2 linked regions of the Tribolium castaneum genome follow. The protein of the gene in region 1 purifies or fractionates together with the protein of each later gene. This does not show direct contact. Links are inferred from orthologs where the notes say so. Each region holds a gene or a part of one and is shown on either strand. Other genes may lie near its edges.

Evidence for each region.
Region 2: the proteins of GATA zinc finger domain-containing protein 1 (region 1) and PHD finger protein 12 purify together in Homo sapiens (affinity purification with mass spectrometry; 7 studies listed by BioGRID and IntAct, with this or other methods). This does not show direct contact. The link is inferred for Tribolium castaneum from reciprocal best matches to the Homo sapiens genes GATAD1 and PHF12.

The regions. Positions count from the first base shown.
Region 1 is NC_087396.1:8,742,346-8,759,094, forward strand, and holds GATA zinc finger domain-containing protein 1, read left to right. Parts: upstream 1-8,160; 5' UTR 8,161-8,243; coding exon 8,244-8,594; intron 8,595-8,642; coding exon 8,643-8,829; intron 8,830-12,010; coding exon 12,011-12,195; 3' UTR 12,196-12,353; downstream 12,354-16,749. UniProt on the Homo sapiens protein: Component of some chromatin complex recruited to chromatin sites methylated 'Lys-4' of histone H3 (H3K4me), with a preference for trimethylated form (H3K4me3).
Region 2 is NC_087401.1:17,004,847-17,021,362, reverse strand, and holds the start of PHD finger protein 12, read right to left. Parts: upstream 8,455-16,516; 5' UTR 8,174-8,454; coding exon 8,126-8,173; intron 8,074-8,125; coding exon 7,883-8,073; intron 7,831-7,882; coding exon 7,577-7,830; intron 5,502-7,576; coding exon 5,254-5,501; intron 5,171-5,253; coding exon 4,657-5,170; intron 2,273-4,656; coding exon 1,770-2,272; intron 1-1,769. Other genes in the region: bleomycin hydrolase, read right to left, coding at 8,868-9,092, 9,507-9,627, 9,680-10,155, 11,622-11,759, 11,812-12,212, 12,386-12,395; uncharacterized protein LOC103313307, read left to right, coding at 12,741-13,118, 14,819-15,592.

The sequences.
Region 1 (16,749 bases):
AAAAGTTTATACAACAAAAAATACAAAAAGTAATAAGTTTTGATGGAAAAGATTAATTAAGGCGGCCCCCTCGAAATGTCAAAATGATGTGTTCATACTTTTATACATATCTCAAAAAATAGACCACGGAGCAGTACCAAACTAAAAGCAAAATTTTTAGAAATTAATTTCCCACAAAACTGCACATTTTTATTTAGTATTGAATTCATTTTCATGGTCTGCTGATCTGAGACTTGGGTGCCAAACGCAAGATACTGCACAGATCGGAAAAAAATACATCATTCATGCACAACATAATTGTAAATATGTATGCAAAAATTGAACCCAATACTGGCAATAGCAAGGAAAAAACAACCTTTAGAAAAATTTCTTTGAGAATGAGATTTTTTAAAACTTACCACTTTCAAAATTTATTTGCCAGTTGGAGGCGCCACAATGGTTTTCGGTTGAAAATTGTTGTCGATTTTAGGATATGTATGTATAAAATAGAAAAAGGTGAAAACACATTTTTTAATTTGACAGTTTGGTTTTGACAGTTCCGGGGGCTGCCTTCATTCAATAGAACAAGTCTTGTAGCAAATTTTCGATAAAATTTTGAATAATAAAAGAGACTTTGATCTGATGTTTTAAGCTTGATACTAATGGTCGAAAAAACCTAGAATAATCAAAAATATCGTGGATTATATTATTAGCAATTTGGTTATAACGGGAATTATTTTTAAAGTAGACGACGGTTGGTCAATAAGGCAGACTGCTCTCTCTTGCAGTATTGCTAAAAATTCGGTCTTAAATATTAAAAAAAAAATGGAGACGACGTTAATACAAAAGTGTGATCAAAAATTGCTGTTTTTTAAGTCGACTATGGAATTCAAATTCAATGCGCCGCTTCGGCACGCTTCATCTAAATGATTTTTATAGTTTAGTTTCTGATTACTGACATCTCTTTCAAATCTTTGAACTAGTTTTTAGCTCACTTCTTTTTTACATTTTTCGACAAAATTGTTTGAGTTGATTTGTGTTTTATATTTTTGTGATTTTTATTGTGTATGCTTTCGTTTTTAAATGCGAAGCTCTTTTGCATTATTTTGACGGATCTGTCACTTTGATGGCATTTACAATTTATATCAAAGCTGGCTTTGATTTAAATTAGGCAGAGACTCCGCTGCCGGCAACGGCACGCATTCAAGCTATCGACAACAATATCCGGAATAGCTGCCGGCAACAATGCCCGGAATAGCTGCTGGCAGTGAATTGTTAGAATTTGCTGTTAATTCTACATTTATCTTGAACAAAGCTGTATTTTCTTAGCTTAAAATGTTTTTTTAACGACCAAATCTCTCTAAAATATATACATGACTGTGCCATGCCACCCCGGTCATTCCTTGGATGGGTGACCAGATAATGTAATGCCAAAACATAGCAACTAACTCGTCTTTCGGAGGAGACGATAAGCCGTCGGTCCCGGTCACTACTAGTTGTCGTTAGGTCAGGTCAGAGGCTGTAGATGCGACCTGAAAACCCTGGCACTTGGGTGATGACATTACCACCATACGCATATTTATACAGGGTGGCTCAGCTAAGACTTTCGAGCCTGATATCTCAGATATTTGTCAACGGATTTTTATGAAATTTAAAATGCAGATATTTTAGAAGATACAGATTAAAATCCAATTAATGCAACAACTCAAGTCTTGAAAAGGTAATTTTTACATGCCTTTTTAAAATGTTAAGCCTTTTAAGACATATTAAAAAATTGATCGTCAGTGAAAAATGCTGTTAGAAAAAACTCGTTCGTGTTTCGCAAGAAAAATGAGAAAACAAACTGTTAAACGTGGGTACAGATGCAAAAGTGTAAATCTTTATGAAACAAATGAGCACTACCATTGAATTTTGGTCAATCCTACTCGCAGAAACGTAACTGTCACGCAAGGGACATTTCACAATTATCTCTCACCCATACAAAACTAAAAAACAATATTTTTGACTTACTTTTGGTACTGGATGCTTTAATTCTTCCAAAAAGACTAAAAGACTGAACAACAACTGAAAAATTCTAAACATTTGAACATTCAGAACTTTGGAAATGTTTCGTACACTGCTAGTTGGATTGATTCTCTTCAAAAGCTTGAATTACAGCCCCAACTATTGCTTCGTTTCCAGAGACGTGTTTTGTCCTCACTCGATTAGTTCAGGTACGCTTCCTGTGTCTTCAAATTAATGACGATTCTTTGAACCTTAAATTTCATAAATAACATTTCACAAAAAGTCCAACGACACTTTCCATAGGCGAACATTGATCCCTTTTTCAACAACACACAAATTTCAGCGACTGTTGTTGGTTTTTAAAGTAATTTCACCAAACGAAAACAATTGTTCTTTTTTGACAGCGCGCACACTTTTGACAGTTTTTTTCAGTGGTACATAAAATACCGCATAGAAATGTTTCATCAATTGTTTCAAAGGGTGACTGGCCAAATTACTAACAAAATTTGGATTAAGCTTTTAACAACAAATTTTTATTTTTTTCTTGGATCAGCCGAGCGATTTGGTTAATTTTTTGTGTGGCCATTTACTTTTTGGGGTTTAATGATCCAACGGTAATTTGGCTTAATTTAAATAAAAGAAATGTGTTTCAAAATTTCATTTTTTAACTTGTGTTCATTTTTTGCCTCCTAAAATATGTGCATTTAAAATTTCATAACAATCGGTTGACAAATAACTGAGATATTAAACTCGAAAGTCTTAGCTGAGACAGCCTGTAGTACATTTATTTTATAGGAAATTTAAATTTCTACAATTTCTTCCTAACATTTTCCTTGTAGCTGTAACCGTATTCGCAGCGTTTTGAAAAATATGGAGCAGGGTGCAAATTGATAAATGTTTTAAAATTTATTATTCTTCGTCATTGTCAAAATTTCCAGTTTTTCTTCTGTGTAAGACAGTTTTGACAACTGTTTGGCATTTCTTAATACGAAACTTCAGATTATTTTTAACAGATTTACAGATTTTAACTCGTTTTCTTGTAAATTGGTTCATTTATTTTACCTCGTGGATGATAAACCAGTCGTTTTCACTCGTGGTTTGATAATCCACTCGTGAAATAAACCGTCCGATTTACACTCAAACTCGTTAAATAAATAACTATTCAAATACAGCGTGGTAAGTCCACCGCCATCGCTAAAGGTAACCACCAGAATTCAAAAGCTAGTATTAAATTTTTCCTATCTTGTTTCTTGTTCGAATAATAGTCTTTGATTAAATGCCATCAGTGGTGTTCGTTTGTTGGATTTATTTTAGACTTTAAAGTTGGGAAAATACGGGCCGATTCAGATAAAATAATGAGCCTGACGATCTGGCGAGGCAACCCAAAAAACACATTTCATTTACGCCTTTGATTCAATTTAAATTAGGATTTACAAGTTGAATCCAAGTTATCAACTTATGTCACTTTGACTTTAGCGCAGAGAACGATCATTATTGCCATTCAATTTTCGCGGAATGATAGAGAAAGTAGAAAAGTCTTTTCGATGTATAAACTACAATAAAATAAGTATGAAAGAATGAAACATTAAAGGTAGGTAATCAGTTTTTCCAAAATCATAAATTGCAACAATAAACACGGAGACAAAAAATTGACTTTTAGCGAAAAATGTGTTCAAAATGCTGGCCTCCTGCTTGTTTTTCTTGGAAGAAAAATGGCCCGATTATACGATACACGAAGATGCGAGATGCCACACTAAACATTCACCAAAACAATTTATTGAAAATGTGTTTCACTTATCTACAGTGAATTTTTTTGAGCATAGTAATGACTGTTGTGCACTATCATTGTTATAAAATTGGGCTTCATCACAAAAAAAGTTTCTGAAGTAAGTTGTTGCCAACTTGTATTTATGTTCTGATGAAGAGACAAAACTCTAATCTGTGTTCAAATTCAGTTTTCCTAAGTTCTCGTACTAGCTGAACATGATAGGTAGGAAATTTATTTTTTCTCAGAAGGACGAACTGAAGTCTGACTAATTCCTCTTGGTTCTGTGTTATGTAAGCTATTAAACGAACTTCATTTTCCAAAGTCCTAGCAGTGTGTTTTCTTTTTTCACAAAGAGGCCAATTTCTTCAAAGTTCCCACTCAGGACGTTTAACGACCATGTCTCTAGGATGTTGTCTATTTGGGAAACGTTGGGCAAACAAATTCATTGCAGCAACAGCAATGCAGAGTACAATGTGACAATAATGACTAGCACCGATGTTAAAGCTTGTCAAGCACTGTCAGCAACATAAGATAACTTGGATTGCAAATGCAAATCCTAATTAAAAATTAGATCAAGACGTAGATGGAATTTGTTTTTTGGGTTGCATCGTCAGATCGTCAGGCTCTTTATCTTATTTGAATCACCCTGTAGATAGAATTTACATATTAAAAAGATTACTTTTTTTAATTTGAAATTTTTTATTGGGCGTAAACGTTTTCTGAAGGAGGGATATATTTATTTACATCAGGAATACGCAGCAACGACTCAACGATTCGATTAAAAAATAAACATGAGAAAACTAAATACCTGTTTTTCTTGAACCAAATTATCATTTTTTCAAAATAAAAAATAACTGAAAACAAATTAAAAAATTCCTTTAGGTTTTCCATGCTCAACAAAGGGCACAGTAAAATCATTCTGATTTCATTTCTTCTCACTATATTTGCACATCTGTGTCCATTTCAGTCAGTTTTCAAGTGTCTCATATTAGGGGTCGAAGAATTTAAAAAGGCTAGAAAAATGAGTTTTTTTATTTTATTTTAAAATGCTACTATTTTTTTTCAAATTTATGTATGTTGTTACTAAGGTCTTCAGAAAGTTACCATATTTTTTTCATGCGATTTGAACGTAATTTTTTTTAATAGAAAAATAAATAATTGACTTTTTTAGCTTTTTAAATTAAGGTTTCTTCGGGCTTGCTTCGGCTTAGAGGCCCCGTATCTAATTTGCATTTTAGCGCAGACTAACTATTTTTTGTCCCCAACAATATTGTTATCATGAAATATTGCTTTAGTCAATCTTCACTAATTCGCTTGGTAGAGTATACCAATCGATTCTTCCTCGAAAAAAAAGTGAAATTTTTTGGTGTTTTTGCGATCGTTCTGTACGGTTCTTCTGAGAACCGCGATAACTTTTCACAGAGTTAACATTTTTCGATGATGAATTTTGACCAATAGGTGCCCCACGGCCGTGTTAATAACCTTATTGTTTTTTTGGGCTAATCGGTCGTCAAAAACACCTGATCTTACCCAAAATGTAAAAACCTTCCAAGTGCGATCTTGCGTCAACGGTTTACTGTAGACAGTCAAACAAATAGTCATCTTGTAGGTCCTTAGGAGAGCTCTTAAGTGGTCAAATTTGGACGTCTGCGCTTGTACCGTTTTCATGTTATCAAATAAAAACTGCATTTTTAATCAAAAAGTAGCAGACGACGTAAATGTCAATGTCAGATAATTTAATTTGTCAGACTTGGTAAATCCACTTGATTCAATTCAATTCAATTTATCAAAGGTTGCGATTCCCAAAATATTTTAAAAATTGATTCAATGATTCAATACTGTGCAGTTCCTCCTTTTCACATCGAGTAAATGCAGATTAACAACTCACATCACACATCGGTTTTCGCAAAAATCCAAGCAAATTAAAAGGTAGCAAATAGTAATCAGATAACGAGGGCCTACAGGGCCAGAATAAGAAATGGCCCGAAGGGTCAGTGCAGCGTCGCAGACCAGGGTAAGCGAAGCACAACCTTGTTACTATTTGTTTTATCTTCCATTCACTTGTAGGAGAGCTGCAAAGGTTTTGTCTACTGATGCACAGAACTGCCACAGCTAACTGATTTCCGGCGTTACACCCTGTTGATGTAAGAGCTTCTTGGGAATGTGGGAAAAAGAGATAAAATAGTATATACAGGGCGATTCAGTTAAGATTATGAGCCCAACTACCTGGCGATGCAACCCAAAAAACAAATTTCATTTACGTCTTTGATCCAGTTTCCATTAGAGTTTGCAAGTTGAACCCAAGTTATAATCCTATGTCACTCCGACATCAGCACAGTAATGGTTTGTTTTTACATTTGTTTTACAAGAATTTAATGCATGAATGTTTTTTTATGTCTCAATTTTTGGTGGAATGAAAAGTATTGTCAAATCTTCATTTCCATTTGAAGAGCAACTTTTATTTAGATTTTAATTATTTCGACGTAGATATTTATTTAAATACCTACGACGAAAATAGTAATTACAAATTTCTAATTATACCATTAATTAAAGCTTAAACATAAAAAATAATAATTGTTAAATATAGTGGAAAATAGTGTTTCTACATGTTTTTGATAAATCCATTTACTTACTCATAACGTTGGGTACTATTTTATTAATAAAACTACTAGGTTTATTGCGTTTTCTGTTCAGTGTATAATACTAATAATAAATAAGTATTAATTTAAAAAGTATTTTAAAATTTTGTAAATTTGTATAACCCTTTATTGATTTTCTAGTTTTTAAATAATACTTTAATAAAATAATCCTTTTGGTGTTTAGTTCATTAAAATTAAACAAGAATTTTTGACGTCTTATGTCTTATTGTGTTATGCAATATGAAATAAAATTCATATTAAAAATATAAGACAAAAATAGATTTTTCATATATTAATTTACTAGTAAGATCTAAATTAAAAACGTATCTATTCATATTTGTTGCTGTATTCTACGAATTTTTGTTAAAACGAGCACAGATCTCCAAAGAACTTCGCAGGAAGCAAATAAGCGAATGTTTTTACATTGATATAACCTCATTAATAAATTTATTGCCATAATTTGTACATCTACTTATTTAATAAATTCACCAAATCGTCCCACCTGTCCCTGGATCAAGCGCGGCGTCACTTAGTCTATAAATAGCACCTATCTTTCTACAACTTAAATTTACTATTTAATATTGACTCAAGATAAAATCCGTTTTTCTAATAGCAAACCTACAAATTCCCTTCAAAAAAATACATACGCTACTGGTGCTTGCGTCACCCTTAATTACTCAAGTGCTTATAATTTAAATAATCAACGGATGTCCGCGTATCCATCTCGAAGAATTAAGTTGATTAATTATTTGGAATGTGTTGACAAAACTGTCCCACGCTTAAAATTAACAACGATATTGTACACGCACGTGTTTCATAAATGGGAGACCCGGCACCAAGGCAGGGCAACAGCAGAACTAGATTTTTACATTCTTGAAAAATCTCTGGTTTACACTGGCTCGAACTTACTCCACAACTAATTGCGTCAGTTATAATTTACCTATGTTAATAGCCCTGGGAATGGAAATACATATATTTAAGTTTAAGGTAGCGAAAATTTCGATGTCATATGTAGATGTGTAAAATAATAGGATAATAAATTATTTTGATGTGACTGTAAAGTTTTGTGCAAATAGATCAAGATAAGGGAGTGATTTATTTATTCTTTTATTATTACAGAAATACGGTGAAACACCGGTGAAATCTAACATTTTTATATTAAATATTGTGTTAGTTTCCGTGAACAATATTGAAAAATAACAAGAATTGTTTTTGAATTGAATTAATGCGACTGGAAGATTCAAGAATCATTAATATGAGTATTTATGAATAAAACATTTCTTATGATCTTGACTTGCTTTTATGAGACATTAAATTCTAATGATTAAATAAACATATGCTGATTACGTCACTTGAACCCGCTTGTTTGGACATTATCAAATTAATAATTAATTACTCTCCTAAATTCAGATTGCAGAAATGGTTTCAACAAACAATAAATACAAACTCTCTTATCATTTATTAAATTATTACTGTGCCCTAATTTAATTCACAAATAAATAACTTTAATAGTCAGAATTGTAAATCATGAAGAGGAACGATATTTTATTTTCATGATTCCATGACCTACCACCTATGCTGCAGCTTGTTTTCTTGAAAGAAATCTTGAAAAAATAAAAATGAATTAAGGAACCAAAAATACGTCTGTATCTTATGCAACCAACAATTAACAAATTTTAAAAATAGAAATGCTATCACTAATTAAACATTATCATTGTTTACTTGTTGCTTTAAATGTTTTATATTATTTTTGCACCAGGACTACAAATATTAATTTTCTGATTTCTCGAAAAGTTGCTGACCTTGAAATTGACGTTTGTCCAACAACATAACCTCAGTTTCAAAGTGGTAAGATGCCCCTTAAAGGCTCTGCTCCCGTGTGCCTCAAGTGCGAAACAAGTGAATCTCCACTATGGACCAACGCCGAAAACCTGGGGGCAATCTGCTTGGACTGTGTTAACGAAGCGAAAGATAACCTCAAATCGGAACAAGAAGAGGAAAACGATGATAAATCGGAAGACTCAAAATCCATCAAACGCAAACAGCGGACTACCAGGTCGTATAAAACGAGGTTAAACCCTTTCGCGATTCCTAAAATTGGGACGCCGAAGGGGAGAGGCAGAAGAGGCATTTTTAAGAAGACGCCAATTAAAGCACCCTCTGCTGTGGCCACAACAATCACTTCTGAATCGATTTTTTATAAAGTGAGTATTATTTACTACGATAGCAAGACATTGTGTAGTTGTTTTTAGGGAAGTTATATTCAAGTGGGTGATATTGTTTCAATGCTAGATGAGGATGGTGATATTTTTTATGCCCAAATTAAAGGGTTGTTAACGGATCAGTATTGCGAAAAAAGTGCTGTGATTACGTGGCTTTTGCCTACACAAGAGAGTCCACCACCTGAGGAAGGTTTTGATCCTGCTACTTACATAATAGGTAAGGTGGTCAAGAGGGCTGTGAAAATAGTAAGAACTTATTATTATACACTATTCACGATTGTTTCAAATTCGGACTATCTATGAAAATCTGACGTTTTATTTGGCAGTACTGTGAGTTGTCGTAAGAAATTTATTTTGGGTTATAATACAGACTGATCCAGAAATACTGAGTCTGTTGGCAACACTGTACTTAAATTTTTAAGGATACCAATGGAGTACTCTTCCAGTTAACAACAATTTAACATTCTTGTGGGGTTATACGTCAAATAATTGTCAAGAGAAATCGAATTCGGTTACAGTGTTGCAAATTACGAGCACAAATATTTTCAAATGTGTTGCCAACAGACTCAGTATTTCTGGATCAGTCTGTATAATTGATGACAACCAAGCACTGTTGTCAGTTTGCTTCGTTTTTTAAATAAATTATTATTATATAAATATATATTATTGTATAAAAAAGATCGATCTGTCCGTCTTGTATTCTTTAAAGCATCTTTTGATACACGCTTTCTTAGCAACAGAAATTACTTTCGGCATTTTAAATTAACAAGCAGTAGAACTGACAACAAAGTGAAATTTTAAAAAGTGAACGTCATAAAGACAGCACCTGACAGGACCTGAGACCAACCTAACAAAAATATATCATCTACGCCTGCTGTGAGTTTAAAACAATCGTGAATGGATAATAGCTGTCTCAAAACTATAAAAACGACAACGTCGCATTTTCTCTTAAAATTAGCTGTTATAAATTATTCAGGCACTTCAAAAAATATTAGCTAATGTAATTTATACTTTCAATGAGAGATCTGATCATTAATAACTATTTTACAGTTTTATCAATCTGATTTAAAAAAAATAATTCGGTAAAATGCGTCGTTGGCGTTTTCGTAGTTTTGAAACAGCTAATAAAATAGTTATTAATGATTAGATTTCTCATTGAAACTATAAATTACATGAGCTATTAATTTTTTGAATACAGGGTGGGGTCCGAGTGGGGTATTTCTGAAATCTTTTTATCCGCAACTTTTAAAACATCTTTCGTCGCTGTCTATGTTTTAATATTATTTGAAGTTAAAATTTAAGCCAAAGAATGCTTTATCTTAAAAACGTCAATAACGTCAAAAATGTTCATAGTTGTCAATCATCGTTGTTTATAATCAGTTTTATTTCGATTTTAAATATGACGCATTATTATTCAAATGACGAAAAAACAGACATGATCCTCATCTATGGCGAATGTCGCAAGAATGTAATAGCTGCTGCAGATCTTTATTTACAAAGATATTCAAATAGAGAACAAACAAAATGACGTCAAGTGTGGCTTCCTCACAAGAAAATTCGAACGAGAACAGTTACTGATCCAGACAACGAAGTAAGAGTTCTTCAGGAAGTGGACGAAAATTCAATCAGCCAAAGGGCTTTAGCAAGACAAGGTCGAATAAGCCGAAAATCAGTAGGACGGATTTTGCGTGCTAATAAATTTCATCCTTACCACATTAGTTTGGTACAAGAACCCAAACCAGTGAGACTATCCAGAAAAATCTCAGAAAAATTAAATTTTGATGAAAATTTTTTTCGACAAAATTTTATTTATTGATGAGGTTAGATTTAGTAATAATTCGTGAAACCCATTTCCAGACTATTTTTTCAGTTAACGTATGGTGCAGTATTATTAGTGAGCACATAATTCGACCCCATTTCATTGATGGGAAAATGTGTCGTCATTTTTTCGAAATGGAATTACCTTTATTGCTAGAAAACTTGGACCTTAGTACTCGGCAAAGTTTGTAATTGCAACAAGATGGTGCTCCGCCACGCTACTACAGAATTGTTAGAAATTATTTAAATCAAAATTTTGAAAATCGCTGGATAGGATGAGGATCTAACAATATTTGGCTTTCCAAAAGTCCAGATTTAACACCGTTGCGCTTTTGTGGGGTGCAGTAAAAGAGAAAGTATACGAAGCACCAATTCAAAATGTTTAAGATCTTAAAAATCGGATTCATAAATGCAGAGCTATTACGTCAGCAACTTTACGACGCGCCCGTCAATCATTTTTTAACAGACTCGATACATATATACGTGTAGGCGGTCAGCAATTTGAAGATCTATTATACTGATTTTTGCAATAAATAAATCGTTTAATTGGTCTAATTTGATTAACTGTCATTCATCTGTCATCTTAAAGTTTTCAACAACATACTTGGATTACTAGTTTGAATTAAATTGAATATTGTATCAAGTGTTAACAGTTTAGTGTATACTGGGTTGCGTTTTTGTAGGTTTTTCGAAGTACCCCAGTCGCGCCCCAGCCTGTATTTATAACTAACTAACTAATTTTGAGAGTAAATGCGACGTTGGAGTTTGGCAGCTTTGGAGTTACAGCTAACAATTGTTTCAAAACTATAAAAACATCAACGTCGCATTTTACCGAAATATTGTTTTTAAATAAAATTGTAAAATAGTCATTAATGATAAGATCTCTTATTGAAAGTATAAATTACATTAGCTATTATTTTTTGAAGTGCATGAATAATGTATAACAGCTAATATTGAAAGAAAATGCGTCGTTGGGGTTTGATACAGTTTGAAACAGCTAACAAGTCATGCGTAAATAACAAAATTACGGATAAGTAAATATTTTTATTGACAGACTGCTGACAATACTAACCGCTAGTTTGTTTTAGAAGTTTTGGTTTTGGTTAATAATATAGGGTGAGTTTGAATTCCATCATACCCCGTAAAGTGGAGAGTCGTCACACTATTTCGCACAATCACGAAAATTTGATTTTGGACGATGCGTCCATATGAAGGCAAAAACCCGATGTAAAATTTAAGCACAAAAGACGAGTACTGGTAACTACATTTAAAAGAATGGAACAATTAAAAACTGTAAGATAGTAGTACCTCTCATTTAAAGCGTTTTGCGGCTATTCATGATTTGATTTATCAGAAGTGTCGCGTTAGGGATGGAATTAAGAGAAATTTGATTTTACGCGTTTGCAATTTTAAACTACGTTTCCGGTTTCTACACTCCAGTTTTTACAGAGTATGATGGAATTCAGACTCACCTGTATATTTAATACAGGACACATGTTTAAAAATCTGACAGATTGACAAAACACACATCATTAAGTTACCAGAGCAATCTTGATCTCTTTTGTTAATTTTAATTTCAGGTCCAGAAGAAGATGTCCCTAGGAAGTTAGAGTGCATGGAATTTGTAATGCACGCCCCCTCTGATTATTACAAGTCGAAAAATACGCCCTATCCGGCTGTGCATGCTCCTGCACAACCTGGGTATATATGGACGTCACTGGAGTCGATAAGAAGATTGTGTGGAAACCCATTACAAAACAACTGACAAAAATTTTGTGGATGTTTTGCTTTTTGCTTTATCACGTATTATTTTCTGTGTATTACAAACTACGTGATTCTTTTACTACTTTTTACATATATTGTATTAACACACTGATTACTCTTGTTTTTTCTGTTTAAATAAATTTATACAAGTACATATAACTATTACTGTATTTGGCGACAATGTAGACAATAAAACTGAACATAAATGAGACGTTGGTCTGAAAAAATTTTTCTAAATTTCACTAAATCTGTTTTTTATTTTATTTTGTGATGGATAATTTTTTTGTAATTATCCAAAATGGATAAAAGTTTGGAAATTTTAAATTGTTTTAAAATTGTATTGTAAGGAGTCATAATTATAGTCATATATTAGGTGATTTAAAACTATATAAAAGATATACAAGATGACTATTCACTCGACCGTCTACAGCATCGCCGGCTTTATAAAATGACACTTTATCTCGCCTGGGCATTTGTCAAGTTCAAGTGATTCCCAATCGAGCTTCAATTCGGGCGGAATATTTGACACATGCTGCTTTTGACGGTAAATTATTTTTCAAAACTTCAAAATATTCTTTGTATATCTTGTTTTGTTGTATCCTTCCTGTCAAGATTTTGTTAGTTGCATTGGTTTAGTTGGTTCGTTGTACTTGCGTTTAAAAATTGTCATTGTTGACAGCTCATTAATAACTTGACACTTTTAGCAGTTGACCACAGAAGTTGACGAACTATTATGAAATGAACATTGAAAATATGTATGCACATTTCATAATTGCGTATGTATTATTATAGATTTTTATCAAAATATCCATACAGGCTGCTCAAAAACTGGCGCACCAACTCAGTGGTACGTTATTGAGAAGCAAGTGCAGATTACGGGAAAAATGTGAAAAAGTTATATTTTTAAAAATCTGGAGCTACAAACTTATTGTGTAAACTTCTTTAGTTTTCATTATTTTTTTATGTTTTTATGTTTCATACCAGGTAATCGTTCTGTAACAAATCGATGAATAATTATTTTTAAATTTACTATCAGATTTTAGTAGTTTTTTTAATTTAAAAAAACGCGCGGAATTAAGGAATCACTGTTTCAATGAATTTTTTACGAAATGCCCAGGCGGGATATTCATACATTTCATTAAGGAGGACGTGGTCTACAGTAAACCGTCGACGCAAGACGCACTTGGAAGGTTTTTACATTTTGGGTGAGATCAGGCGTTTCCGGCGATCAATTAGCCCCAAAAATAATAGGATTCTTAATACGGCCGAGGGGCACCTACTGGCCAAATTTTATCGAAAAATATTAACTCTGTGAAAAACTAATGCGGTTCGTAGAAGAACCGGGCAGAACAATTGCCGAAGACCAAAAAATTTTCCTTTTTTTCGACGTAGAATCAATATCAGAAATATGTGTGTTAATTTTACTACGTAATAAAACTCCTCAAATACAACAACTTTTCTATATAAAGTTTTGCAAAATTTGTAATTTTTACTGTTTTCCTCCTTTTTTTATGCAAACGAGCCGGTCAGTTTTTAACAATTACTTTGTATTCATAGCAACAGTTTTCATTGTTGCTTTAAATTATTTAAATTGTCCGTTTCACAACGAAAATAGTCTGACTCTTTATTTTTGTACCCATAGGTGGGTACAAGTTTCAGTACGTTATCTTTTTCCAAATTTTAAGTATATTTGCGAATTTTATATTGAAAAATTACAAATCAAAAAGATGTTTTATTTGTTGAGCTCTGTTACCTATTAAAGTTAAGACACGTATTTCTAATACAAATTCATTACAATAGATATTGGCGAATTATTAAAAAATTCAAATCTTCCTTTTAGGTGTATTAAAGATATCTAGTTATTTGAAATTTGAAACGAAGACATTATTCACCCACTTTTTGTGTAGAATTTAATGGTGTAGCCGGAGAATTTTTTATTACTTTGTTTTGCTGTAATTACATACAGAAGTATTTTTTTAATAAAGAATGAATTATTTAAAAGTTACGTCTTAAGATGAAACCAAAAATTCTAATTACACTTATTAGCACTTGGATACTGCATTTAATTTTATTTTTAAAATATTAATTGAATAAACATTATTGTTTTATATTTATAATAATGATATTGATAACCCATAAATAAATTTTAGCAAAACCGTCAAGACAAACTTGACAACACTCAGAATAATCCACGACCTGGTGTTTTTGTATATTTTTGTATAGTTTGACATTGCGTGTACCACCACGTAATAGTACAAAAGCTTTGGCTGAATATGCCGTTAAATAAACTAAATATTACAACAAAAATATGTAAATGGTGAATGCGCCGGGACACCTGTAAACCTTCAGCTTATTTACAAATATAGAACAGCCTGTATTATATTTAATTATAAGAAATTATCATAAATTACTGATTATTATTCTGCGTATAAAGTGACCAAAAAGTGATGGCTGTATAGTATTCCAAGCTTTAGACTTGATGAATTTAAAAATTTAGCAATATGTTATAATATAGTATGCACCAGCTCAGTGGTACAATGGCGGACAAAAGTCTTGGGCCAATAGAAATAACTACACTTTTGATCATAGCTTTTGATTCTTGTCATTTTGACAAACAATTCCATTTGTTCAATATCGAAGACACTGTCGCACGAGGAAGACCTAGAGTTGTGTCATTTTGTCCATGCGGCATATCACTTTGGGATCTTACTTTATTAAATACGAAACTAACAGCATTTTTATTTTGTCAATTACTGATTGATGTTAATCACAATGACAAAGCATTATTTACATCAATTTGCTTTTGATTAAAAAAAGTGATGTATGAAGACTTTTATCCGCAATCGTACGTTGTGAGAAGCATGTGTAGATTAAGAAAAAAATCTTGAAAACATTTCTAGTCGTATTTAAAAAAATTTGTAGGTCCAAATTTATTCTGTTAAATTTTTCAGTTCATTAATTTTAATGTTTTTATGTTTCGCGCTAAATACAGGCTGCTCAAAAACTGGGGCAACAACTTAGCGGTACGTTGTTGAGAAGCATGTGTAGATCTCGGGAAAATTCTTGAACAAATTACTAAAGCCATATTTAAAAAACTCTGGAGCTACAAACGTATTTGTATTTTCACCTTTATTTGTAGGCAATTCTCCACCACACTCCGTTAAGTTGGTGCGCCGATTTTTGAGCATCCGGTATAATCATTCCCTAACACAATGATAAATGATTAATTTTAAATTTACTATTATCCCTAGCAGTTTTTTTAACTTAAAAAAAATAAAATTTATCAAAAAATTAAAAATGATTGTACAATGTGTTCCAGAATGGTTGTTCATCAAATCACCTATAAAATTTAAACGTGGTGTGCTGTGTAATTGAAATGTGTATGCCGTCAAGGTGACAGATTCGTCATAATACTACAAAAGACTTCAAATCTAAAAACGAAAGACTACATAACAAAAAAAACATGGAAATATAAAACACAAATCAAGGCAAACCCTCCGTTTCAAACAAATTTGCCGAAAAATGCAAAAAATGAATAAAAAGCTAATTCAATTATTTGACAGACATGACAGTACTTAACTATTTACTACAAGAGTCATCATTTGGATGAAGCGGCACACTGAATTTAAATCCTAATGCCGAGTTGATGAACAACCATTATTGATCAAATTGTATATGTGCCAACACTGGTACATTTTCTAGAAAACCGTTTCAAATATGATATTTTTTTATTGTTAATCAAATTTTATTGCGATTACGATTGTAAAACAACGTTGCCAGATACCACTTATTAAAAATTTGTAATTAAGGCGCTCCCCGAAAACTGTCAATATCAAAATGTCAAATCAAAAAAATATATGTTTTTACCTTTCTTTCCTTTTATACATGTCTCAAAATCGACAATAATTTTCAACCGAAAACCATTGTGGCGCCTCCAACTGGCAAATAAATTTTGAAAGCGGTAAGTTTTAAAAAATCTCATTCTCAAAGAAATTTTTCTAAAGGTTGTTTTTTCCTTGCCATTGCCAGTATTGGGTTCAATTTTTGCATGCATATTTACAATGATGTTGTGCATGAATGGTGTATTTTTTCCGATCTGTCCAGTATCTTGCGTTTGGTACCCAAATAAGATCAGCAGATCATAAAAATGAATTCAATACTAAATAAAAATGTGTAGTTTAGTGGCGAATTAATTTCTAATCATTTTGCTTTTTGTTTGGTACTGCTCCGTGGTTTATTTTTTGAGATATGTATAAAAGTATGAACAAATCATCTTAAGAGTTCTCGGGGGCCGCCTTAAAAGGAACGCCTCAACTTTGCCTGTATACCATAGTGTAGGTACACACGGTGTATCAGAAATACGTGTGTTAATTTCACCACGTAATAAAACTCATCAAATACAACAACTTTTCTATACAAGGTGTCTCAGTTAAGATTTTCGAGTTTAATATTTCAGTTATTTGTCAACGTATTGTTATGAAATTAAGAATGCAAATCTTTTAGGAGATAGTCTTTCAATTAGGGAAAAAATGACCTCAAGTAAAGAAATGAAATT
Region 2 (16,516 bases), on another chromosome or scaffold:
TATTTGCGCAATTTTGGCTCGATTATCACGAAATTTTGTACAGTAACAGATAATGAAGTGCTTAAAAGCGCTACGAGTCGTTTTGAACCAATTTTTGTTTATTTTAATTTTTTTTAATTTTTTTGTTGATTGCAAAAATTAAAATCGACCATTTTCGTTGATTATCTTCAAAACTACTACTCGTACAGTAAAGATGAAAACAGATTTGGAATCTTTGGACAATTTTACGTCCAAAAACCATACTATTAATATATATTTTTGGTTATTGTAATTTTTACGATTTTTTTATTGTTGGTAAGCAAGTAAGAATTTTGACCAAGTTGTTTTATTCGACTATTATTTGCGCATTTTTGGTTCGATTATCACGAAATTTTGTTCAGTAACAGTTAATGTACTGCTTAAAAGCGCTGCGAGTCGTTTTGGACCAATTTCTGTTTATTTTATTATTATTTTTTTGTTGATTGCAAAACTTAAAATATACCATATTCCGTTGATTATCTTCAAAACTACTACTCGTACAGTAAAAATGAAAACAGATTTGGAATCCTCAGGCAATTTTACGTCCAGAAACCATACTATTGACATACATTTTTGGTTATTGCAATTTTGACGATTTTTTTATTGTTGGTAGGCAAGTAAGAATTTTGACCAAGTTGTTTTATTCGAATATTATTTGCGCATTTTTGGCTCGATTATGATGAAATTTTGTTTAGTAACAGATAATAAACTGCCTAAAAGCGTTGTTAGTCGTTTTAGACCAATTTCTGTTTATTTAATTTTTTTTATTTTTTTGTTTGCAAAAATTAAAATCGACCATTTTCGTTGATTATCTTCAAAACTACTACTCTTACAGTAAAAATGAAAACAGATTTAGAATCCTCAGACAATTTTACGTCCAGAAACCATTCTATTAACATACATTTTTGGTTATTGCAATTTTGACGATTTTTTTATTGTTGGTAGGCAAGTAAGAATTTTGACCAAGTTGTTTTATTCGACTATTATTTGCCCATTTTTGGTTCGATTATCACGAAATTTTGTTCAGTAAAAGATAATGGACTGCTTAAAAGCGCTGCGAGTCGTTTTAGGCCAATTTCTCTTTATTTTTTTTTTTAATTTTTTTGTTGATTGCAAAAATTAAAATCGACCCTATTTCGTTGATTATCTTCAAAACTACTATTCGTACAGTAAAAATGAAAACAGATTTGGAATCCTCAGACAATTTTACGTCCAAAAACCATACTATTAACACACATTTTTGGTTATTGTAATTTTGACGATTTTTTTATTGTTGGTAGGTAAGTAAGAATTTTGACCAAGTTGTTTTATTCGGATATTATTTGCAAAATTTTGGCTCGATTATCACAAAATTTTGTTCAGTAGCAGATAATGAACTGCTTAAAAGCGCTACGAGTCGTTTTAATTCAATTTCTTTTTATTTCTTTGTTATTTTTGCCTTTTTTCAACTGTTTTTGAGTAGATTTTTTTAAATTAAGAACTCATTTTTCAACACTAATAAATAATAATAATTAATGCGAAATTCTCGAAAGACAAGTCCGATAAAACTTTTATTTCATAGTGAACGATAAAATGGTATTTTATCCACTGTTTACTTGTTTTTGTTTTTTTTTTAATTGTTTTTCTGTTTTTGACGTTCTTTTGATTGTTGAATTTCTTGACCGCTGTGGAAGATAAAATAAAATTTTATCGTCTTGTATAACAAACGAGTGTACCAACTTTCCTTCGCCTAATTCCCTAGAAAAACTCACCTCATCGTAGAAAATGATCGCATGCCTTGCCGATATGTTATTGCAATGTCCAAACCGTTCCAAATCGACATCATTGGACGATCCTTTCCCCACATTCAACACCCGGTATCTCATCGCCACCGCTTCGGGATATCTCGCCGAAACCGTCGGCCTAAATCCGAGAAAACTATCGTCGTGTCGCACATCGTTCGGACTGACTTCGGACGTGCGCACATTGTAGAAATGTGGGGAAACCACCGGACACATCATAGCACGTGCGCGAAGCGCCGACTTCGGCTTGATTTTCTTCTTCGGACTGGAAAAAACGCGCGATATTCGTTCGATATCGGCAGGCGTCAACAATTCACTCGGCATAGGCATGTGACGTAATTTGCTCTGCAAATTCGACGGTAGATACAAATTTAAGTTGGCGGAATTGTTCGGCTGGTTGAGCAGGTGCTGGATGCGCTGATAAGCGAGGAGTTTCACCAATCGGTCGTCTAATTGCTTCAATTCGACTTCAACTGGACAAAAAATTAATGACAGTTAGCACGTTCAAACCTACTTGATTTGAACCGATTTTCGGGTTGGCAATGAACTGTTGCCATGGTTACGTTTCAGAATTTGCTTGATTGTCATAAAATTGATTGTGGTGTTTTTTTTTTTGCAAAAATTCACCAAAATTGGATCAAAATCATTACATTTGAGCGAAATTGTTGTTATTTTAGCCTTTTTTGTAAAAGTAAGCCAGAAAACCACAAAATTTGGGGTAAAACAGTGTTAATACTTTGCTTTTTTCGTGCGATTTCTAGCACAAATTTAATGTGAGCTATAAACGTAATTTCTTTAAATACAAGTTAAAATTTTAGCAAAATTTGCAATCGAAATTTTGTTGGAATAAACACCGAAAATGGTTATTGTTATCTTCGAGTATTTTGAGTTTTTACTCAAATTTTTTTGTACTCATTGTGTTGTTTTTTACTTTGCAACAATGGCTGGGGACATTTAATAGGTTGGTGTCGCTATCGTTGAGATGGAAACGGTTATTTTTTTACGATAAGTGACAGTTCTTGCCAAATTTTTGATTGTTTGTCCTGTTACCAACACATTAGGAATAAACACTAAATTATAAAAAATATTAATTTTTATTAAATTTTTTTGAGAGATTTGTTACAAAAAATATTGTACCTTACTTGTTTGTAAAGCAATTTCCCATATTCGCACTTTATAATAATAATAATAATAATAATAATAATAATAATAATTTATTTATGGCAGTAAAATAGTTACAAGAAAAAATAATACGATAACAAAATTAAAATTTTCTACAAGTTATTCTTACCACAAATTGGACTAAAAGGCAGCAAAGCTGATCAAGGTTTTGGCCCAGACAATAAATGGAAAAAAACAGAAAAATAATAAAATAATACAAAATATAATAATAAAAAAATATCTAATTCTATTTAACAAAATTATAGAGGAATTAAACACATAAGAAAAATAGAAAAATCATTTTGTAAGAAACATTTTTTTCATGCAGCACTCGCTACGCTCGTGGACCAAACAAAGTGCTCATGTGGGAAATTGCACTTTCTAAAACTGATCCTTATGCAGAATTTTCTGATAACTTCGAATCCAAAGTTCGATTTTCTGTTTGGAATTGCCTTTTTGTGGAAATTTTTCTTGCAACGTTTTTTTTTGTGTAGCAAAATTTTCGAGATGCTAGAATTTTTTTATACACAAGCGAGTACATTATTTTTGCACTATTAGAACATTTTAACACAATCTTTAATAAAAAATACGATTATTCCATAACATCTTACCGGAAAACTCATGATATGTGTTAACCGAAATAAATATAATTATGTAACTTTTTCAAGCATTTTTGTCTACTTGAGCTAGAAACACCACAATTTTTGGTTAAAAACACGATAAGTTTGTAAAATTTCGTCAAAAATTACCCGAAAAATAATAAAATTATTTGACCGAACATAGTTTTATTTTTAGGCCAGTAACACAGTTTTTCTGGCGAAATTCTACTAAAATAAAAATTAGGTCCACATAATTTTTGTTTCCATTGAACGCTTTGGAATATTTTTCAGAATAAATGTAATTATTTTAGCAAGAAATCAGGTCGCCCTTTTAGTTAGAAACACAAAAATTTCTCTCGTTAAAATGGTTTTACTTTAATTTTTAGAATAACGAAATAACGAATATTTAAAAACCTCGCTAAAATTATTTGCTTAAGAGATGACCTTCAAAAAAACAGCCACAATAAGTGTCGAAGTCGCAACAAAAAACAATGACTCACTCAAGCCTATTTGTTTCCCACCTCTCTCAAGTAAGTTATCTCCCAGATTATATTTTTTGTGGGTGACGTTTTCTCCCTATTTAGTGCCGTTTCATTTATCAGTTTGTTACGGGCTGTTGTCGCGAACGGACGCGTCTTAAATTAAATCAAAATTTACTACGATTTAAAGTGGTTTGTGTTAGTGTGTGCTAATGGATTAGATTTTAAGGGAGAAAAGAAGCACACAATCCGGATTAAACGGTTCGTCTGCAATTATTTTTAGAAAAATTTCGCAACGAGTTTGGAAAGTGCAATCACATGAGCACCTTGTTTGCTCCACGAGCGCAGCGAGTGCTGCATGAAGTAAACTGCTTTCCAAACAAGTTGTTTTTGCTAATGGGTTGGTAACAGGACAGAAAAAATAACCGTTTCCATAGCAACGACGGCGATACCAACCTATTAAATGTCCCTAGCCAAAGTAAAAAATCTAAACAACGATAATTTAATGGCACATTGTTCTAATTTCCTTATTTTTATTTCAGTGGGTGCGTTTAAGACGGGACTTCGGCATAAAAGGTCAGTGCATTTTATTTATTTCTGAATGAATTGTTAACTCACCTTCGTTCGTAATATCCGAGACGACGTCCGGCAAAAAAATATTGTCCTTTTGGTCAACCGTTGCCCCATTCATTACCTCATTTTTAATACAACCATTTCGACAAAAATCCTCCTTTGTGTCGTCCTCTTGAGTATTATTCGTATTTTCATCTGTACTTTTATCACACGTTTGATCCTCCGGACCGTTACACAAACTTTGTACAACTTCAACATCTTCACACTTAACAGCGTCCTCAACCATCTGCTCTCGATTGTTTAACACACTCTCTAACCGCAAGACATCCTTCAAACTCGGCAACAATTTCACCGGTTTACGATAATGATATTTGACCATTGCCGGTACTTTAACGCGATTTTTCGACGCCAATTTAATTTTTACACGAAACGGCGGATTTTTACTGTGAATTTTACGAAAAAACTCCAAACGTATGGCGTCTTGATCGACGGGACCGTTGAATTTATCCCACAGTTTGATGCGTTCGGTGGCCGAAATCGAAGTCAACAGTTTAGAGTCCTAACAAAACAAATAATAACTCAGGGTGTTTTAGAAACTTGTTTTTAAAATCGGACAACTTATATTTTTTGCCGAAAACTTACGAGATAGTGTTCGACGTGATTCGGGCACATCCAGCGGCCGCTAGGTGGCGTTGTTAGCGGTGGATCTAAGCAATCCATGTGAAAGTATAGGGAGCAAAAGTCGCACGATATTAGCGGAGCTACACGGCAAGATTTGCGACATTCGTGGCATTTCTTTGCTGGAAGGAAAATTGTAGCATCTTGTTTTTTCTCGTGGTCTTTGTGGACTTTCATGCTTTTGCGGCCGTTGCGAGAATATGGGGCTTCGACTGAAAAAATTAGATACAACATTTAAAACGCCTACAAAAGTACAAAAATTAAAGTTAAAATTCTAGCAAAATATTTTGTATTTATTACCAGACGGAAAGACAAAGACAAAACTAAATCAATAATCGACGTTTACTTGTGACTACTGAATTTTAAACGCTGAATTACAAATGAGTTTTACGAAACGAGTACACAATAGAATCTGCTGAATAAATTATTTAAGTAAATCGATTAGAAAAAAGAGTAAATTAAAAATGAAAATGAAATCAATAAAACAGGCTGTTATAATAATTGCAACATTGATTTTACTAAGTGAAACGTAACAGTCTTGTTTAATCCATGTTTTCAGAGTGGCTTATAATTATGTAACAACTTAACTCAATTTTTTATTTTATGGATGTTGTTCCTAGAAGAAATCATTGTCTTACAGAAAAAAATGAGCAAAAAAAATTTTTTTTTCATTTTATTTTCAAATGAGACGAAATTTTTTCTTCAATTTTATGTGCTATATTGTTGCTAAGACCTTCAGAAAGTTATGCGATTTGAACATATTTTTTTTTATAGAAAAATCAATCAATTAAATTTTTAACAAGTTTAAACAATAAGCCAATTGTACAAAAATTTGGGAAACCCTTTTGAACTGCACCCTTTTTTCTCGTATTAATAATCGAATAAAAAATTTCTGCAGCAAGGCAATAAAGTTAAATTTTTTATTAATTGAATAATTATTCTTTTGTTGTTTTGTTTTCATTTTGTATCTTTATTTTTATTATTATTATTTTTTTCAAAGTATTCAGGACACATATTTTTTCTTTTACTATTATTTAAAAATTATATTATTTTCTAATATTAATATTTTAAGTTTTTCTTTTCGCATTTATTTTTAGTTTTGGTTTTTTAATTTATTTTGAAAAATGTATGTTTTTGTTTTGTTTTGTGAGAGGTTAGCTAAACTTTGCCTTCTCACATTCTTTTCTTGAATAAAGGCTTTTATTATTATTATTATTATTATTTGTCATTTTAGAGAAAAAGAAATAATCCGAAATTATATGTTTTCCGTTAAATTAATGCCCAAATTGTTATTTTCTTCATCAGAATAAAGCCATTTTAGGTCTTAGACAATAGGTGATAACGTTTTAAGCAAAAAATTATCGAAAATCAAAAAACAAAAACGTTATCTCAAATTTTTATTTTTATCTAAACTATAACATAAATATCGTTTTCAGGTAAAATAAGCCGTTTTCAGACAATTCTCAGAGTTTTCTCATTTTTAAACAAGAAATTGTCCAAAATTAATCGTTTTCTTCCAAACTAATACATAAACCGTTTTTTTTAGCCAGTTTTATGAATTTTTTTTTTTTTGAGCAAAGAATCGTTCGAAATGCGGAGTTTTCAACCAATTCTCTACGTTTCTAAGCAAGAAATTGTCCAAAATGAATCGTTTTCTTCCAAACTGTTTAAGCGATTTTATATTTTTGACTACGATTTTCGTCGTTTTAAGGCAGAAATCTTAAAAAATAAAATGTTTTCAAATAAATCACGTTGTTTTGTTGGATAGAATAAAGCGATTTTAAATTTCCAACACCTGGTTTCGATATTTTTGAGCCAGAAATCATCAAAAATCAAATAACTTCTACAAAATTGTTAATTTTCTAACAGTCTGAAGCGATTTTATTTTTTTAACTGCGAGTTTAGTGGTTTTTATTTTGACAAAAATCCTGTAATATTATATAATGCGTTCAAAAAGACTTTAGATCAACTCTTGCTGTGAAATTTTGAAGGTATGTTGATTTCTTCGGTTACTATATACGTGCAAGTAGCACGTTTGACACTTCAACAGAATAAAACGATAATCTATCAAAGACAATAAAAATCTAGCAATCTAAATTCCACAGCAAGAGTTGATCTAAAGACTTTTTATAACTTGACGCTGTAAAATTATAACATGTGATCGAAAATGAACTGAATTAGAGCAGGCCGTGTCAAAAATTGATTCCTTGTTGAATTTAAACAACAAAAAAAAATCAAAAAAAAAATTGATCTCATGGAAAAAAAGAACAAAACAACCTGAACAAACCTTTATCAGTCCCTGGAAAAATGCACGGTACACTCATACTCCTGGGCAAATCAAACTGCTTGGGATTCATTGAACTCGCAGCCTGAATTAACAAATCCATCGGACTGACTTTCGCCTTTTTGGGGGCTTTCCCCGCCGGCGTGGACGCCGAGCGTTTGTTCCTCGTTTGGGGCGCATTGCTCTTTTTTGCATATTTACAACTGTGACACAACCACTCTCCACTCGGTATATCCTTCTCCTCCAATGGGGGATCACTGAAACGCAACCGTTTAGCCAAAACCACAAACCGGGGCGTCCCCGTGTTACTGGCACTGCAGATGAAAACTCGACGGACACTTGTCACAGCAAATCAAATCGCCCCCTTCGCCGCACGCGTCGCAACTGTCGTGGTTGTGCCCCTTTCCCGGCCGCTTGAAGTACGGGTGCTCCGTGGCGGTGGCCCCCTTGCGCGATTTCGTGTCCTCGGACTGCGGGGGCGCGATCAGAGCCTGGATTTGCTGCAAAAGCGCACACAAAGGCTGCGGAAATCCGCCATTTTGCGCGACTTACGTCCATGAGACCCCCAGATGTGTCCAAATCGTACTCGATTGAAGCCATTGCTGAGGAGAACGGTGGCGTGGGAATGAACTGAGTGGTTTTTCACTCACTCGAGTTTGGTTTTTTCGGTTTTGGTTACATGGTTGGGGGAAAATATGAATGGCACTGAAAACTGCAATTTGGTTATGATGACGGTGAAATGGGGGCGAAACGATCAATCGGTTGAGATAAATTCATTAATAACACTTGAATTTTTACGCTTATTTATAAAACGTTTGGCAGGTTTTTGACAGTGTTTGCCGCGAGCTGTCACTTTTACCGACTTACCGACCGAGCAGCGCCATTATCAAATATTCCCTTCATTCACACGAATAATTAATTATTTTTACAAAAACTGAATTAATTAATTATTGAATTAGTCACGGACTTTGTTTCCAACCACAAGTTTCAATCGCGAGATATTATTCCAATAAAAAATCTCTTCCCTAATGTACTTGCTATTTCAAAACTATAAAAAAGCAATGGCGCATTTACATTTCTTGGGGTCATGTATGTCACAACTAAAAACTTTCTATGTTCAAATCGGGCTCTGGTGATCAGTTTAGTGCCAAAAAAGCCCACTAGTTAGAAGAAAAAACTAATTGACAAGTGACAGTTAATTTTGTAGTTTTGAAACAGATATTATCTTTGTATCGCCGTATAAATAAAACACTGACTTATTGCCACAAAATTTTATTGGAGCAAAAAATACAAATTAACATGAAACATTGGCAAGTGTTCCCATGGGGTCCCAAGCTGGCAAGACGATCGGTTTTTGTTTAAAAACTTCAAGAACATCAACAGGAACATACTTTTTATCAACCACCACTTCAAAAACGTACTCCTTGAACCAGTCAGTACTCATAATCAAGTAGCCTTTTTCGCCACGATCTTCACCCCATGAATTTTCCACACGCAATTTCGTCACTTCATCTTTTTCCTGTCAGAAAAACAATAAAAAATAATGAGTCTGGTCAAAATTGTGCTCTAAGTTGGCCATGTCCAGTGCTGCCAGCTCACAATCATGCCTACTAGATCCGAGCTGAAAAGCTCCTAGATTTCTATTTTAGTTATTTTCCAAGGTTTAGTTTATGGTTTAGACTTGGAAAAACTGCATTTTTGGCGAAATTTTGTGGCTTTTAATAAAAAATTTACGTTTGTAAAGGAAAAACGCACTAAAATACTCGAATAAAAGTAAAAACCTATCGATTTTAAGCAAATTAGCACTAAAATCACCAAATCTCTGGTGATTAAGTGTTGCCAACAGGAAAAATATCGGTGTGAATACAATCTACCGGGTGATCAAAAATATTTGTTTGAGGTGGCAACACTGCCAACATAAAAATCTACTTACGTTCAAGCTCACAGCGGTGAAAACCATCGCATGTGACATGGCACTGTCTCCATAAATCAATCTATCGGCTTTACTCAAAATCGTCTGAATATCCACACCAAAAACCAACGGAAAATTATGACTAAAACCAAAAAACCATAACCACAAACCCAACCAACCAAAAAAAAACCTACATTTTCAAATCTAAAATCCCCTGTTTTCCGGCGAATCGTTTCATAACCTCACACCCAAACCACACTGCCTCGCCATCTTTAATCGACTTGGCCGTGGCATCGAGTAAAAGTTCAACGGGTTGATTGTTGTATATACAGGGACGTCCACCCACAACATTCCCCAGACAATCCACTGTGTATACTTTACCGTATTGGTTAGACGGTCGCGGATCGGTAACTATGCACACTTTATTATCGACATCGAAAACAGGCTTCACATGCTCTTCATAGAACGCTTTAGGTGTTATTGGACCAATGCTGTGATAAGTCTTGTTCTTATCGTAATAAGTGAAAGTGAACGTCTCAGCAGGCACACCCAAACAAATGCCAACAATACGATAAATCGTATTCATTTGTTCGCGTATTACGTTTTGTACTTTGAGGTCGCCTTCGCCTTTGGCGATCAGGTCTCGGATCGTTTTCGCGTATTCACGCAACTGAAATGTGAGGATTAGGCACTCGGCTGCGGCTCGTCCACCAAATGCAATAACAATATTTGTTACTACAGTTTCAAAGCAACCCAAAATATTAAAAAAAAAACAAGTAAAATTAAAATTAATTAGTTATTTTTTAACTAATTAACTACCCATTTTGAGCTTACAGTTAAGAGAAAAAAATAAGAATTTGCATTTCTATATTAATTTTTGTTTACACTTTTCTTTTTAAAGATTTATTTATTCCCATTGTATTTATATTTTTTTATTCTTTTCGCTTGGTTCCATATGGAAAAACGTAATTTTTGTAAATAAATACATAAAATGAATTGAAAATTTCAATTTATTCATCACAAAATAAGTTAAAAAACTGTATATTTCTACATATTTAGACAGTTAATAATTCCTACATTTTATAAAAAATATTGTATGTATTACCGCACAAGGATAAAATGACGTTAAAATATTCTATTTAGAATTCATTTCCTATGATTAAAGAAAACACCTTGACGCTATAATCAGTACTCTTCCTTTACATTACTCTGATAAAAAAAACAATGGCAATAATACGGCTAATGATAGAGAAAACTTAAAGTATAGTTTCAATTAATTATTATTACTATTATTTAGAAAAACCAACAACCATGAAATTACGTTATTTCCTCCCTGGGAAGGAAAATGAGGGAGGAAATAACGTACTTACGAAAAAAAAACACTATATTTTAAAATGATGAAATTGTAGATATGAAATTAATAAAGTCTTAACGTGCAATAGATTCCTCCATGTACTTATTAAATCTTTGTATCTATTTTTTTATAAAAAATAATATAAGTTTATATTATAACTTATTCCCATCTTTAATTAGTTGGCATATTTATCACTTTTTTTCCATTATAACCTTGAGAAATTGAGAAAATCCAACCTTGAACGTAAAAAAATATACAATAAGGTATACAATAAAGAATATTTCTGACTTTGTAAATTTAAAATTAACGAATAAAATAGAAAAAATTGAAAATAAAGAAAAAAATGTTCTAACACATCTTACATTATTCATATTTGTACACAAAGGTCACACATTTTTTTCCATATCGAGGTTATTTCAATCATAAAAGATATGGATCTTTGAAAAATTTTTCAAGATCTTAAACAAAAACGGGCATTATCAGGAAAGAAATTGGCATAATCGGGGGAAAGGGGGCACAATCTGGAAAATAAAAATCTGGCAAAATTTACTAAAAACGTCGCAATTGTGAAAAAAAGGCATAATAATAAAAAGAGGGCATAATCGTAAAAAATAAAAAAGGGGCATAATCTGAGATTAGAGGGCATTATCATGGTTTAGAGGGCATTATCATGAAATAGAGGGCATTATCATGGAAAAGAGGGCATAATCACTAAAAAGGGCATACCCATGAAAAAACAAAAATATAAGAAAAAACGAGCTTTTCTGAATGTTTATACTCACTTTAGTCTTGAGGATTTGATTCATTTTGGCGCTCGTTTCGCAACTGAACGACTCCGGAAAACACTTCTTGGGCATAAGTCCATGTTTATTGATCAAATTAACAATCATATCCCACTGGCCTCCGTCCGAAATCGGATCCTAGACAAAACCCAAAAAATCTTTTCCAAAAAATTAAAAAAAAAAAAATTACATTGAGTAGAAAAGCCACCAAACGTCCCTCCACCGGTTCGTTCCGCTTGGCCGTTTCGACAATATTATTAAGAAAAAAATTACACCGTTCGATCTTGTCCCAGAAGAACAGATAGGCTTGCGAAAATTCAAAATCATCAATATTTAAATGCTTCATAAAGGGCAGTCTGATAACATTCATCGTTGCAAAAATCCAGCACCGGCCTGAGTTTTTTTGATTGCTGACCGGCTTGCCTTCGGCCTCCACCTTGTGCTCGTACACATGATGGGTCTCCTCGAGGGCCTTACGCGAAAGACAGGCGTCAAATGGGTCAATACGTGAGCACACATTTTGAGCGAAAATATTCTTCTCGTCTGAGAAGAAATTCGAACGGAATTTCTCCAAAGTCTCCTTGCTTAAAGCTGCAAATAAAAAACGAGAATTTCTAATCCCCAAAGACCAAAATAAACAATGACTGGGAATTTATGACATGTCAGAATGATTTTACATAAAATTATAATAAATCAAAGGAAAATTTTCAATTGACAATTTTCGAAAGGTGGAAAAGGTGTGGTTTAAACTGGGGGGCACTTACTTGGATCCATGTTATCAAAAATTGGGAATTAAACCGAAAAAACTGTACAAGTTGTTACAAATTGTAACCTATCACCTCTACAACTGTCAAACGACAGTATCGCCAACCGTTGCCTTGCACAAAAACTGTTTAAAATACCACACAATCATTAATACACTGGTGTAAAGTGTGTGGCCTATCGCAGTTATGTTATAATGACTTTATCCCACTTGTTACATAAATAGTCACTGCGCAGCATTCCCCACATTCCGAACGCATGTAATAAAAGTGAAAACAGCCTCTAGACAGCCTGGCCATGTTGTTTCACTAGTGTTTGGTTAAACTGTCAAAAAGTTGATTAATTAGTGTCAAAAAAATGGAAGAAACGTCCGTTTCAAATCCGCCTTTATTGCCCGAAAAATCGAAAAAGCGTTACGAAACCACGTACAGAATGTTTAAAGATTGGTGTTTGACGAAGAACAATGCTCCCGTTTCGGAGGCTCTCCTTCTGGCGTACTTTCAGGAGAAGGATTCGATTCTGAGGTCACCTTCCAGCAAATGGTGTGAATATTCAATACTGAAAACGACGATTTTTATCAATGAGAATATCGATATCTCCAAGTATTTGAAATTGAGGGCGTTTTTGAAGCGACAAAATGCTGGGTATAAGCCGAAAAAATCGAATACTTTCAATAGGGAAATGATTAACCAGTTTTTGGAGCAGGCGCCTGACGAGAAATATTTACTTATGAAGGTAATGGGTTTAGGGCGTTGAATTGTTACGCTTTTTATTTAATGTGTTGACAAATGTGACTCAAAAGTCGTAGGTTCGTATCCTGCTGAGAGCCAGTTTTTTTTTATTGTTTATTTTTTCGTAAATACAATGAAAACAAATAGTAATTGCGTCAAGGGCTGGTAATTTAAAGTTTGAGTACATATACACAAGTCGAATTTTTTTCAATTTTTTTATTAATTTCTTAATTACGACAAAACTATTTGAAAAAGTGGAACTATTTTGATCCTAGTCTATGTAAAATGATCCGGGGAATCGACTGGCGTTGAGAAAGTCGCTAGATTCCTGATCGTTTTTAAGTTATGAATTTTTTTAGTAAAAAATTTTAATCGCCTCTGTAGTCGGTACCGTTGCCCGGAGCGGCTCCGGGTTTGGTCGAAAAAATAGATAAAATTAAGCGCTATCAGATGGTTTTTTGTTCGTTGCTCTAAGTCTTACAGTTTCCGAGAAAAACGCAAAAAAAGGTTTCTATTTTCACTTTTTTTCAACTTTCGAACGCCGATTACGGCCAAACTAAAAGAGCTAGGAGAAAACGCTTTTTTAGATCGGAAAGAGCACATCAAAATCTATAAGATAGAATCGGTTTTATTTGATTCAGAGACACTTTAAAAATTGACCGATTTTAAGGGGGGGGTGTTAACTTTTTTTTATTTTTTTTTATTTTCTTATTTACGCCTAAACTATTCGAAAAAGCGGAACTCTTTTGATCCATACTTATGCAAAATGATCCGGGGAATCGATTGGCATCGAGAAAATTGCCAAATTTGGAATAGTTTTGTAGTTATGAATTTTTTTAAATTTTACCAATTTTTTCATTTGACTCTAATTTGCTCGAAAACTGTTAGTCGGAAAACACTAATTTTTTTTTGAAAAAGATAAATAATTTAAAGAGCTTTCCAACGGTAATACACTTCATGGGGTTATCTCTGATAGTTCCGGAGCTATTGCTCGACAAAAGTTCCGGGTACCCAAAATCGACAAAATTTGCGACGAAAATTGAAAAAATCAAACATCAAAAATTGAACATATGGACTTTTTGTGGACTTTTAACAACTTTTGTGGGTTGTTAAGACATAAAAAAGTCCATAAAAATATGCTGAAGTGAGTTTAAAAAAAATTTTTTTTCATCACTTTGAAGGTAAGGTGTAGGCACAAATTTATTACTCAGGAAATTTGAGCAAAAAATTTGAAAATTTTAAATCTCGTGAAAAGTTGGTAAAATACAGAAAAAAAGCCGCTGAATCCAATGGAACAAACCGCGTTGCTCTACGACTTTTAGTTTTCGAGTTATGAATTTTTTTATTGAATAAAATTTTCCACTATGACAAATGGCTACCCTAAATTTAGGCAAAAAATTTTAAATTTTTAATTCCTGTGAAAAATTGATATAATATGTAAAATGAGCCGTAGAATTCAATGGAACAAACCGCAGTGCTCTACGACTTTTAGTTTTTTTTTATGAATTTTTTTATTGAAAAACTTTGATCGCCTCTGTAGCCGGAACTGTTACGCGGAGCGGCTTGGGGTTTTTACGAAAATATAGATAATTTAAACTGCATTCTGATACTTTTTCGGTTTTAATGCTCTCAGATTTACTGTTAGATTTATTTACCGAAAACTATTTTTGTTGTTGTTTTTTTTTGTTAAGTTTGCGCTTGCAGGTCGCCATGTTGATGGGAATCACCGGCGCATGCCGCAACCACGAACTGTGCGACATGAAAGTGGAAAACGTGAAAGAAGCCGGCGATGTTTTCATCGTAAAAATCCCCGATTCAAATACGGGTATTCCCCGAATGTTTGTCCTCACCGATCATTTAGACAAAGTGCGCAAATACATCGAGTTTCGCTCGAAAATAACCGTCGATTGTTCGCGTTTTTTCATGCGATATCATGAAGGCAGATGTTACAATCAACCAGTTGGCATAAACACATTCCTTGAAATTCCCTCCAGAATCGCCAAGTATTTGAATTTGGAAAATGCCGAAGGTTACACGGGACGCGCCTTTCGCAAAACTTCGGCAATGTTGTCGGCCAACATCGGCCTAGCTCGGTGGAATTTCCCCTGTATTAATGAAAACATCACAAAGGTTTCCCCGATTATTCAAAATAATAATACTATTAGTAGTGAAGTTGTTAATCTCGATGCTCCTGAGGAGTTGGTAAATGTTAAGGAAGAAGTGTTGAGTGACGAAATGTCAAGTGTGGAGGATAATACGAGCGAAGCGAATAAAATCTCCTACAATATTAACGGTAGTGAAGTTGCCGATTTATCGACAACTCGCTGCAAAGACGAGATTGTTATCAACGGGAGCGATTTTTCAAGCTCGGATCAAAATATTAAAATCACTAAAACGGAAAATAATGGAAATCCGTCGTTTGTTATTAATGTTAGTAATTGTAGCAATTGTAATCTCACTATAAATATAAATTATTGAACTATTTTTTTTTAATAAGAAATAATTGGCGCCAACTTTTAAATAACAATTGATTGACAACACTGAGTTATTGTTTGTTGGAAGAAATTATCTCGAGCTACTTGTTATTTCGTGGAAGCATTGCTGATAATGATAAAGATCAAAAATGAATGAATGTTTCGTTTTGTGGCGCAATTTTCACATTTTTTTAATTAATCAATTTTAGCCGTTCATCGGATTTTGTCACTTGCTGTGGAGGTGGCTAAGGTTGCGTGTAGTTGACTGGGTTAAAATGAGCGGTGTCTTCGTTTTAATTTGATTAAAATGGCTAAATTATTGCCATTTTCAACCGATTTTTTTTGATATTCAGATTTATACACAGTATGTACTAAAAGTATATTTTCCCAATATTTCAAAAACTATTAGTCTCACAAAATTAGCCTAGAAAAAGAGCTTTCCAACGATAATAAGTTTCATATGGTTATCTCTAATGGTTCCGAAGTTATTGCATGATAAATATGGGTGTAAAAAATTTTTTTATTTTTCTTATTTTCTCAATTATGGCAAAACTATTCGAAAAAGTAGAACTATATTGGTTCTATCCCATGTAAAATGATCCGAGGAATCGATTAGCGTTGAGAAAATCGTCAAATTCACAATAGTTTTTTAGTTGTGAGTTTTTTTTAATTTTACAAATTTTTGCTTTTATGAGCAATTTATTCGAAAACTATTAGTCGGACAACAATGATCTTTTTTGAAAAAGATAGATAATTTAAAGAGCTTTCCAACGATAATATGCTTCGTAGGGTTATCTCTAATAGTTACGAAGTTATTGCATGATAAATGTGGGTGTAATTTTTTTTTTATTCTTTTTATTTTCTCAATTATGTCAAAACTATTCGAAAAAGTGGAACTATTTTGATTCTAGCTTATGTAAAATGATTC